Rattus norvegicus: one gene and its partners. The protein of the gene in region 1 interacts with the protein of each later gene in a pairwise test. Links are inferred from orthologs where the notes say so. Each region holds a gene or a part of one and is shown in the gene's direction. Other genes may lie near its edges.

What was found.
Region 2: the proteins of Zbtb9 (region 1) and Tsr2 interact in binary tests that used the Homo sapiens proteins (3 or more experiments, as listed by UniProt). The two-hybrid records come from large-scale screens. The link is inferred for Rattus norvegicus from reciprocal best matches to the Homo sapiens genes ZBTB9 and TSR2.
Region 3: the proteins of Zbtb9 (region 1) and Lasp1 interact in binary tests that used the Homo sapiens proteins (3 or more experiments, as listed by UniProt). The two-hybrid records come from large-scale screens. The link is inferred for Rattus norvegicus from reciprocal best matches to the Homo sapiens genes ZBTB9 and LASP1.

The regions. Positions count from the first base shown.
Region 1 is NC_086038.1:5,057,983-5,062,169, forward strand, and holds the start of Zbtb9 (zinc finger and BTB domain-containing protein 9), read left to right. Parts: upstream 1-1,333; 5' UTR 1,334-1,469; exon of another isoform or gene 1,470-1,570; intron 1,571-1,713; 5' UTR 1,714-1,752; coding exon 1,753-3,150; 3' UTR 3,151-4,187. UniProt on the Homo sapiens protein: May be involved in transcriptional regulation.
Region 2 is NC_086039.1:23,509,631-23,512,707, reverse strand, and holds part of Tsr2 (pre-rRNA-processing protein TSR2 homolog), read left to right. Parts: intron 1-889; coding exon 890-981; intron 982-1,837; coding exon 1,838-2,014; intron 2,015-2,206; coding exon 2,207-2,341; 3' UTR 2,342-3,077. UniProt on the Homo sapiens protein: May be involved in 20S pre-rRNA processing.
Region 3 is NC_086028.1:83,325,970-83,329,537, forward strand, and holds part of Lasp1 (LIM and SH3 domain protein 1), read left to right. Parts: intron 1-287; coding exon 288-444; intron 445-771; coding exon 772-875; intron 876-3,322; coding exon 3,323-3,496; 3' UTR 3,497-3,568. UniProt on the Homo sapiens protein: Plays an important role in the regulation of dynamic actin-based, cytoskeletal activities.

The DNA.
Region 1 (4,187 bases):
TGAGAATTCTTCCCAGACTCCAGACTCGACCTTTCTTTTGTATGAACAGCTCTCCTTCAAACTTACCCCTCTACATACACCCACCCAGCCGGGGCCAAATTTATACTTATATAAAAGTTGTAAATATGTGAAATTTTATCCCATTCCCTCTCCTCTGCTTCCCTACATCAGGCCTTACCCTTGGACCTCCTCCCTCCTCTTTGGCTGTTGTAATTATCTGGGGTTTGTACTGTACATAATTGGGGTGGGGGGCTGGGAGGCGACCCCTCTGTACAGAGCTTCCTGGCTCCCTAGCCCCACCCCTCATTTCCTTCCCCACCCACCACCTTAAGAGTAGGGAGAAGATCTTCTTACTCATTTTTTTTGCTGTTTGTTTACTCGTTCTCCTTTCTGCTCCTGCTCCCAGACTCTTGGTCCCCACCCCCATCCCCCCACACCCCCTCTTTTCTCCCACTCCCGGGTCCATTTCCCTTTTTTTTTCTGGAGTGTGTGGTGAAACAGAAAAATCATGTTTAATAAACGGAGATTGTTCTTTTATCGCTGGGCTGACTTTTATTTTTGGTTTTTCAAGACAGGGTCTCTGTGTGGTTCTGGGCTGTCTTGGAACTCACTCTGTAGACCAGGGTGGCCTTGAACTAGCAAGATCCGCCTGCCTCTGCCTCCTGGGACTAAAAAAGCGTCTGTCGCGGGGGGGGGGGCTGATTTTTTAGCCTGGGGTCTCCAGAACCACCTGAAGGCTGACAGGGACTACTTTGGGGGAGAAAAAGTAAAACAAAATCATGTCTTCTTCCACTACACACTGCTCGAGTCAGGAAAACTATATACGGCAGGGCCTTTCTGGTGAAACTCCTACCCCCGTTCTCTACCCGCCGGACACTCGACCCAAAGGCGCTGAGGCTGGGAACCGGCTTTTAACGCCCGAAAGACTCCAAGTGCAAAACCCTCTCGACATAGGGTTTAATTGTGAGGACGCTTGTCTGCGAAATGGAGGAAAGAACCCGGGGTGCTCAGCATGTGTGCGCTCCAGACTTCTGACCTGGCTGCCCCACGTGCACGCGGAGGACAGCCGCATCTCCTACCTCGCGCGGCAAGAGTCGGGGGGATACACACACCGCGCTGCGGAGCCAGTCACTCCCCTCACCCCAGAACCCGCAGAACCACCCTCCTCATCGGCCGCTCATCCCGGAAAACATTCGCCGCCGCTCCAGCAGCCCGCCCGCCCAAAGCCCCGCCCCTCCGACTGACCAGCCAATGAGGAGAGGTCTTGTAGGCCGCCGCTCTCCCATTGGCTGCAAACCAGGTCCGGCCCTCCGCGCCTGGCTGCAGTGGCGTCCGGCGGAACTGCGGCAGCTTCCGGCCGGCCAGGCGCAGTGGATGCGAGGAGCTCCGACGCGGTCGTGCGTGCGGTGGGGGCGTGTCGGTGGGAAGTCGTGGGGCCGGAGCTCGCGGAGCCGGCCTGTCCGAGCAAGGTGAGGAGGGGCGAGCGGCGGCGGAGGGCGACTGAGCCAGCGAGGCGGGGCGCCATCCCTTCCCTACTTGGCTTCCGCTGGGCCTGGAAGTGAAAACCCTGGTTAGTGTTTTGCTGGGTTTCTTGGTGGGCGGAACTAATACACAGAAACTTGTCACTGAAGAGTTTTCAAGTGTCGGTGGGGAGCGGCTTGAGGCAGGTCTCATACCCCGAACTTGTGTGACCCTAGTCTCTTTCCTCTGCAGTCTTCATCCACGGGTTTTATTTCTCCCTCCGAGGTAGCCATGGATGCTTCGACTCCTTTGCCTCCCGCACCCTCTTCTCCGAGGTGTAACCCAGCCCCACAGACAATCCACATTGATTTCCCTCATCATAGCTCTTCGCTGCTGGAATCCCTGAACCGCCATAGGCTGGAGGGAAAGTTCTGTGATGTATCCCTCCTGGTTCAGGGCAGGGAACTGAGGGCTCACAAAGCAGTGTTGGCTGCTGCCTCTCCTTACTTCCATGACAAGCTGCTATTGGGGGATGCGCCCCGACTCACTTTACCGAATGTCATCGAGGCAGATGCGTTCGAGGGACTGCTTCAGCTCATCTATTCAGGAAGCCTCCACCTGCCATTGGATGCTCTTCCTGCCCATCTCCTCGTGGCCAGTGGCCTTCAGATGTGGCAGGTAGTAGATCGGTGCTCAGAGATTCTTCGAGAGCTAGAAACGTCCAGTGGAATTTCATCTGGTGGAGGAGCCTCCAGCCTCACACTTCTTTCCACAACATCTGCAGGAGGCTGGTGCATTCGCTCTTCCCCTTTCCAGAACCCAGGGCGGTCCTCCGCTTCCACAGAGAATTCTGCTGCCCCTGAGAGCCCCAGTGGAGGGGAGGGGGGTGAACTAGAAGGAATGTTACAGATTCAGGTCAAAGTAGAGGAGGAAGAGGAGCAGAGGTCAGCAGCCCCACCCTTTCAGACCCCTCAGCCTGAGAGAGTGTCAGGAGCGGTTTCCCAGGCTTGCGGATCCCACCCGTTGCCTACATCGACTCTTCCCAGCAAACCTTCAGAGGATGAGAACTCAACACTTGATCCTCCTGCCCCTCCCGTACAAACTTCCCAAATCTTATACGTTAACCAGGAAAACGTCGAGTGTAAGGAGGAGACATCAGGAGGCAGGACTCTGTCTGGAGGAGCAAAGGAAAAGACCAAAGTACTGCCTGGAGAGAACTCTGAGGAAAATGGGGAGCTAAGATACTTGCTGTCCTCAGGAGGAGGGGAGACGTCTGGGGCAGGAGACCCATCCTGGAAACCAGTGGATCTCCATGGGAATGAAATCTTGTCAGGGGGCGGAGGACCCGGAGGAACAGGGCAGGCTATGCACGGGCCTGTGAAGCTAGGAGGGACACCCCCTGCAGATGGAAAGTGCTTTGCTTGCTTGTGTGGAAAACGGTTTGCAGTCAAGCCGAAACGAGACCGACACATCATGTTGACCTTCAGCCTTCGTCCCTTCGGCTGCGGCATCTGTAATAAACGCTTCAAGCTGAAGCATCATCTGACAGAGCACATGAAGACCCACGCCAGAGCTCTGCACGCGTGTCCCCATTGTGGCCGCCGGTTCCGGGTCCAGGCTTTCTTCCTTCGACACCGGGACTTATGCAAGGGCCAGGGCTGGCCCACTTACCACTGGACTTACAAATGACTACCGATGCTCTGTAGTGATTTCTAGGACAAGATAGCCACTGCTGCTGACGGACTTACCTTCCACCACCTCAGTCCTGGATCGTGTGGTCCTTCCAAGAGATTATATATGTCATGTTGTGAACCCCTTACTCTTGGGGATGGGCCTCACCCTGGTATATTTGGAAGTCCTGTAGGAAGGTCATGCTTCTGATCACTCAACCGGAATGGCCCTTTTTGTATTGATAGCCAGTGAAGGAACTGCTGACCTCAGGTTATATTAGCAAGAGAAGAGATGGAGCAAAATGACCCAGTAACTCTATCCTCATCTTCATGAGGAGGTGAGGGAGCTGGTCTCCAACTAGGAAAACATTTGATTCAGAGCTCAAGTAATTGTCAGACTCAGCTCTGAGCGGCCTCTGCCTCACTGTCAACGGTATCCCGACTCTGTACTTTCTGTCATTTCTTTCCAGAAGCTTTTTAAAGTTGTACTTTTCTTTTCTCACCAGGAGACACCTTTCCCAAATATCCTTTTAAAAATGACTGGAGAGGTGGCTCGGGCACTGACTGCTCTTCCAGAGGTCCTGAGTTCAAATCCCAGTAGCCGCATGGTGGCTCACAACCATCTGTAATGGGATCTGACGCCCTCTTCTGGCCTGCAGGCGTACATGCAGACAGAGCATTCATACATTAAAAAAAAAAAGTACTTGAACATGAAGCAAGTGTCCTGCACACATTTAATCACAGCACATGGGAGGCAGAGGCAGGTGGATCTCTTCAAGTTCAAGGCCAGCCAGGGCTGCGCTCGGCGAGACCCTATCTTGAGGGGGATAAATAGTACTCGAGCACTTTAGCAAACTGAGCATTTCACAGGTTACTCTGAAAGCCCATCGCAGAGGGTCCTCCCTCAGAGGCCTTCACCTTGTCTTTCACTACCACTAATCACAATGACAGATGTGACCCAGGAACTCAAGAGGTGGCAGCTGGCCTACAGCGCTCCCAGGGTGGCATTTCCCCCACTTAGAGGATCTCAGGGTTGAACCCACACATGGTGAGGAT
Region 2 (3,077 bases), on another chromosome or scaffold:
AGTTGGAAAAGAAAGATTTATGATGAATGGCAGGGTAGATTAGAAGCCTCTCATTGGATAGAGGAACCCTGGAGGATGAGATGCTGGTTTGGAAGACAGGATAATAAACCTGGCTTTGGATATGGGGATTTGAAGCACCTGTCTAACATCTGAGTAGATCAATTAGTCTGAGTAGAAGAGAAATTTTGAGGCTGTAAGATTTGAAGGGCAGGTAAAAGTAGAAATGTGGAAGAGTTATGTCTGGGACAAGGCATATAAGGTAAAGAAAGCTAGTTTTTCATTTAGGAAAGAAAGACCATGGACCCGTAAGATAACTGAGGTACAGAGTCTGAAGGCAGTATTGGGGTTATGATTTCATTTTTGGAAGTAGTGCATCCAGCTGAGGGTGTAGTTCAGTGGTAGTTTGCCCAGCATGTGCTTGACCCTGGGGCTGATCCCCAGCACCAAAAAGCAATGAAGTCCCATGTCCATTTCTTCTTACTCATTGCCCTTGAGTCTCTGGACTCCTTTTTTAGTGGAGCCACAGTTGTGAAGGGTCTCAACATTTCAGCACTTCAGCTGTGAAGTGATGCAAATTAATAGTAGGAATCTCATCTCCCTTGTGCCAAGCATTGTGGCCAACAAGTCCCCCCCCCCCAATAGACCCTCCTGGAGGTTCTATTAGCCTTTCTTTACAAATGAGAAAATTGGAGGCTCTGAGAGAACCAGCTTGCTCAAGATTGCCTTGAACTGAGGTCAGGTAGAATAAACAAGTAAAAGAGGGTGTTTTAGTGAATAAAGGGTCACTGGATCTTTACCTACCAACCAGATATAGCAGGCAGGTATTTAAGAATGGTCAGGGCTGATGAAGTTGGTCTTTGGTTAAAGGGTTCTGTCCTTTCCTATTTAGCTGACTTGGAGCTGGAAGAGATAGAAGATTTTCTTGGGGAGCTGATGACCACTGAGTTTGATACCGTTGTGGAAGATGGGAGTCTGCCCCAGGTGAGCTTATGGAGACAGCTGCTAGCCCCCTGCCTGCTCTTTCTCCCTATTTCCTGTTAGGGACAAGGTTCTTGGTCGTCATTCTTTTCTTGAGGTGTAGACAACATTCCCTATAGCCTTTTCAAACATTACCTTTATTTCTCTCCTTATATAATTTTCAACCATGTATTTTCCCCACACCCCACCAGCTGGGTTGGATCAAATTCCATCCCTATTCTAATAAACACTGCTCATCCTAGTGAGATGTCTTTCATTTTGCATCTTTAGTCCCTTTTTTCCTTTTTTTTTTTTTTGACAGTGTTTTACTCTCTAGCATGGGTAGCCTAAACTGTACTGTGTAGCCCAGTCAACCTCAAATTCATAGCAGTCAGCATGCTTCAGTCTCCCAAGTAGTGGGATTACAGCCGTGTACCACTTAGTCAATTCTAGTACCTTCCCTTCTAGGAGGCCCTCATTGAAGGCTTCACACCCTCACCCAAGCCCTTCAGTTGTTGTTGCTTCATTGAACTTTGTTGGGTTTTTTTTGAGACAGGATCTTACTATGTAATCCTGGCTGTCCTAGAACTTGCCATGTAGACCAGGCTGGCCTTGATCTCAGAGATCTGCTTGCCTCTGCCTACTGAGTGCTAGGATACAGATGTGTTTTATTGACAGTGTGTTACTGTGAAGCCAGGCTGATCTCAATCTCAAAATTCTCCTGCCTCAGAGGTCTCTCATTTATATGCATCCACCACTGTGCCTCTTCTTAGGGAGAAAAGAGCCCTGAAAATTCAAACCCTCCCCCTCTACTCTGCTCTAAACAGGCTGGCTTTATAGTAGATTGATAAATCTAAGTTTTGGGGTATTTTCTTGATAGGTGAGCCAGCAACTACAGACCATGTTCCACCACTTCCAGAAGGGTGATGGGGCTGCTCTTCAGGAGATGACCTCTCATATCAACCAAAAAAAGTGCAAAGTCACAGCTACCCCACTTAAGACGGCCAAAGAAACTGATGTGGCAGAAGATGATGTGGACAGCGTGGAAGAAATGGAGGTGAAAGAAGTCCTGTACTTGGGGCGGGGGTTATCCCCAAATGTTTTCTGGAAGAGTGCCTAGATTCACAGGGAAGTGGTGGCAGTTTGAGGGAGTGGTGTTATTTCCAAGGATAGCTCACATAGTCATGGAAAACTTGGGAGTAGAGCCTGGGTAATGTACTTAGTTATTTTTCTTTCATTTTCCTTCCAGGTGACAGCTACTAATGATGGGGCCACAACGGATGGGGTCTGCCCCCAGTCTCAACCTTCTGATCCAGACTCCCAGACTATTAAGGAAGAGGATATAGTTGAAGATGGCTGGACCATTGTCCGGAGAAAGAAATGAGCAGGGCAGTACATGTTTGGGGCCCTTGTTTGTTGGGTGTTATGAGAGACTTATAGGAGCTGTTTTTGGGGGAACTATACACCTCTGTTCTGGAAACCGTATCCCTTCTTTGTTCCCATCCTTCCCTTCAGGGGAAGAAAAGCCCTAAAGTCCTTGGTTGTGGGGTTGATGAGACCTATTCCAGCCCCTTGAATCTTAAGGTACCATATGAGAGATGAGACCAGGTTTCCCAGCATAGTGCCTCCTAGGTGCAGTGAATTGGAAGATGGGTGATAGGTGTGGATGTGGTTATAGAAGCCAGGCTTGTGGAAAGTAGGCAGGTACATTTATGGAAAGGACCGGAATTCCACAGTGGGAGGCTGGCTGGCTTGGCAATTGTGAGAAAAGCATACAGCTGGAAGAGAGATGTAGAAGTCTACATTCCCCAATGTCCCCACCCTAGCCTCCCACAGAGCATTCCCCAACCGACCAGAATTTTCATCCTCCTGGGAATTCTCCCCCTTGAATACCCTTGAGAGTTTGAAGGACTTAACTAAAAGTGGTGAACTTGGGAAAGTTGGGCTGTTTTAAGTCCAGGGATGAGGCTTAAGATCTTAATAACATAACACTTTCTTGTTTAATTCATGATTTAACCTTGGAATCAGCTTTCTGAGAGCTGAGCTTCAAAATTCATCAAGAGAGTAGTTTCTGCACCCTCCCCTCTCCCTTAGTAGCCTGGGACTTCGGACAAACGGAC
Region 3 (3,568 bases), on another chromosome or scaffold:
GGTGTACATAGTGAGACCTCGTCTCCAAGGGGAGGCTGCAAAGAAGGTTTACCTAGCTTGTCGTGGTTAAATCACTTAGAGAGCTGGTACGGTCTTTCTGTAGCTCTCCTGGAGTCCGTGTGTGTGTGTGTGTGTGTGTGTGTGTGTGTGTGTGTGTGTGTGTGTGTGTGTGGCCTTGCTCCGCCCCGCTGCCTCAGGAGCTAGCACAAGGGGCACTTACTGCCATGCCCAGCGTGAGTGGCCGTGGGAGAGGACTGATTGGCTCACCCATCCCTTCTGCCCTACAGATCAAATACCATGAGGAGTTTGAGAAGAGCCGCATGGGGCCCAGCGGAGGTGAAGGCATAGAGCCAGAGCGCCGAGAAGCCCAGGACAGCAGCAGCTACCGGAGGCCCACGGAGCAGCAACAGCCACAGCCCCACCATATCCCGACCAGTGCCCCAGGTGAGTGTAGGGAGGGGAGGAGGGGGCCTGAGGTCAAGAGAGTGGGGGCGGCTACATATACAGGCATCTATGCATATAGGTCTGCTCCCTAAAAATCTCATCTCCACCCCCGCCAAGGAGCAGGAGATCTGGAGTAGCAGATCCTGCTGTAAGGAGCAGACAGCCGTGCCTAAGACACTAATGAATGCGCATGCCTAGCCTTTGCTTTGGGGGGAGCAGTGCTGAGCAAGGCCCAAGTGGGGTTAGAAATTCATACCTTTGACCTCATAGGGGCTGGGGGAATGAATTTGGCAAAACACTTTCCGAGCCATCTCTTCTGTCTTCCAGTTTACCAGCAGCCCCAACAGCAGCAGGTGACCCCGTCCTATGGTGGGTACAAGGAGCCAGCAGCCCCTGTCTCCATACAGCGCAGTGCCCCAGGTGGCGGCGGGGTGAGTAATTGTCTGGAATAGAGAAGCCCCGGGGTGAAAGGGTGAAAGAGGTCACAGCTGCACGCACCTGTGTACGGGCGCACGCACGCACGCACGCACACACACATACATACACATGCAGGCGTGCACACACACATGCACACACGAGAGCTCACACATACATGCACACAGTGCACATATGCACACACACATGCATGAGTGATAAAGGTGAAATGTAGAGTTCTCACCTAATATACACAGGATCTTGGGTTCTTCTGACCCCCAGGGCCATGTCCCTTTCCCCAGAAAAGGATTATACTAACTTGTGTCTCTGTGTGAGCAGGAAGTAGCCTTGTGCTACTGTCTTGAGCCAGGCTTAGAGTAGGACGAGCCAGAGCCAGAGCCAGAGCCAGGCCTGGGGTGGGACTCACCAGTTTTGGGAAAATGAGCATCACTAAGCTGGGTGGCCCTGGGTGTGAAGCTCTGGCCTGGGTGTTCCGGGGTACCTCCCGCCAGGGTGCACTAGGCTGATTTCCACGCTGGGATTCAAAGCAACTCGTGTCAGAGTAGAAGAGAAATAAGGTGGCCTGGGATAAGTGACCTTTCTTTAGGGTGGAGGCAACAGGAGGCTGTGTGAAGGGTAAGGCAGCAAATGGCCTGCCCTATGCAGGGTAAGGGACAGAGCAGCAGAGTCAAATGGTACAAGGGGGACAGCAGGTACAAAGACCTTATAACAGAACATCCTTGGAATGTTCAGTGTCTTATGGGAAGGTCCAGGTTCCTGGAGACAGGAAGAAGTAGATGAGGTCAAGCCCTTTGGGTACCTGTAAGCCCATGGGAAGGAAGGCCTTTGAGACTAGTAATCTATACTGCACTACACTGCACGGCACTGCATGGCACTGCACTACACTGCATTGCACTGCACTGCACTACATACACTACACTATACGATACTACACTACACTGTACTACACTGCAGTGCACTGCACTATACTGCACTTCACTGCACCACACTATACTGTACTGCACTGCACTAAATTGTCCCGCATTATACTGCACTTCACTGCACTACACTGCACTGCACTACACCGCACTGCACTACACCACACTGAACTACACCGCACTGCACTACACTGCACTGCACTACACCGCACTGCACTTCACTGCACTACACTGCACTGCACTACACTACACTGAACTACACCGCACTGCACTGCACTACACTACACTGCACTACACTACACTGCACTGAACTACACTGCACTGAACTACACTGCACTGAACTACACCGCACTGAACTACACTGCACTGAACTACACCACACTGCACTACACTACACTGAACTACACCACACTGCACTACACTACACTGAACTACACCACACTGCACTACACGGCACTGCATTACACTGCACCACACTGCACTACACGGCACTGCATTACACTGCACTACACGGCACTACACGGCACTACACGGCACTGCATTACACTGCACTACACTGCACTTTTGCTTTATGAAAATCACCCTGGCAGTTGGGTACAGGTGTAACCTCAGCACTTGGGAAGGTGTGGCAGACGATTCACTGGGAGTTCAAGGCTAACCTGGTTACATAGCTTAGACCTTGTCTTGAACATTTTTCTCCTTTTTTTTTAAAAAAGGAGAAGTTCACCTTTGTGCCCATGTAGGGTAAATAGGAGGATAGCAGACTGAGGGGATGGGGTGTGTTGGGCGTTCGTGTAGAGGATAGCCAGAGACCGCAATGGCCATCTGGTTGGACATAAAAGGTAGTCAATGTACGGACCAGGATCTGAAAAGTGATTAGGCTATCTATACCTCTTTTTTGTTTTGTGGTGTTGAGAATTAAACCCAAGACCTAAGGATACAAGCTATGTAGCCCAGGTTGGCCTTGAACTGAGGATCTTGTCTTGTTTTAAATCTCAGTCTCTTGAGTGCTGAGATTCAAAATCCCATCTTATCATGCCCAGAATGGTATATTGCACTTTTTCTTAGGAATTTATTACTTTTTCTTTTGTGCATTGGTGTTTCACCTACTTGTGTGTATGTGAGTGTGTTGGGGCCCCTGGAACTGGAATTACAGTCATGAGCTGCCAGGTGGGTGCTGGGAATTGAACTCGGGTCCTCTGGAAGAAAAGTCAGTGCTCTCAACTGCTGAACTATCTCCTCAGTCCCTGTATATGTCACATTTAAAAGCCAATAGATTTGTGTCAAGTCTATAGGACTTTACTGTTGCTATGTGGAAACAGGTACAAGAGACTCCACCACAGAACCTACCCCAGGCTCCATCTTCTGGTTTATTGTTTCTTTCCCTCAAGGTCCCTGAGAGGTAGAGAGAAACACGGGGCTGGGAGTGACTTGGTGGAGCACTTGTCCAGCACAGGAGAAGGTCTGGGTGTGTGTGGGAGAGCCTACATCAAATACCCAGGCTAACCATTGGCTGTGCTCCCCAGAAACGGTACCGTGCAGTGTATGACTACAGCGCTGCCGATGAGGACGAGGTCTCCTTCCAGGATGGGGACACCATCGTCAATGTGCAGCAGATCGATGATGGCTGGATGTATGGGACCGTAGAGCGCACCGGTGACACGGGGATGCTGCCAGCCAACTATGTTGAGGCCATCTGAGCCCCGTGCTGCCCCACCCTGTCTTCAATGCATTCCATGGCATCACATCTGTCCTGGGGCCTGACCCATCCA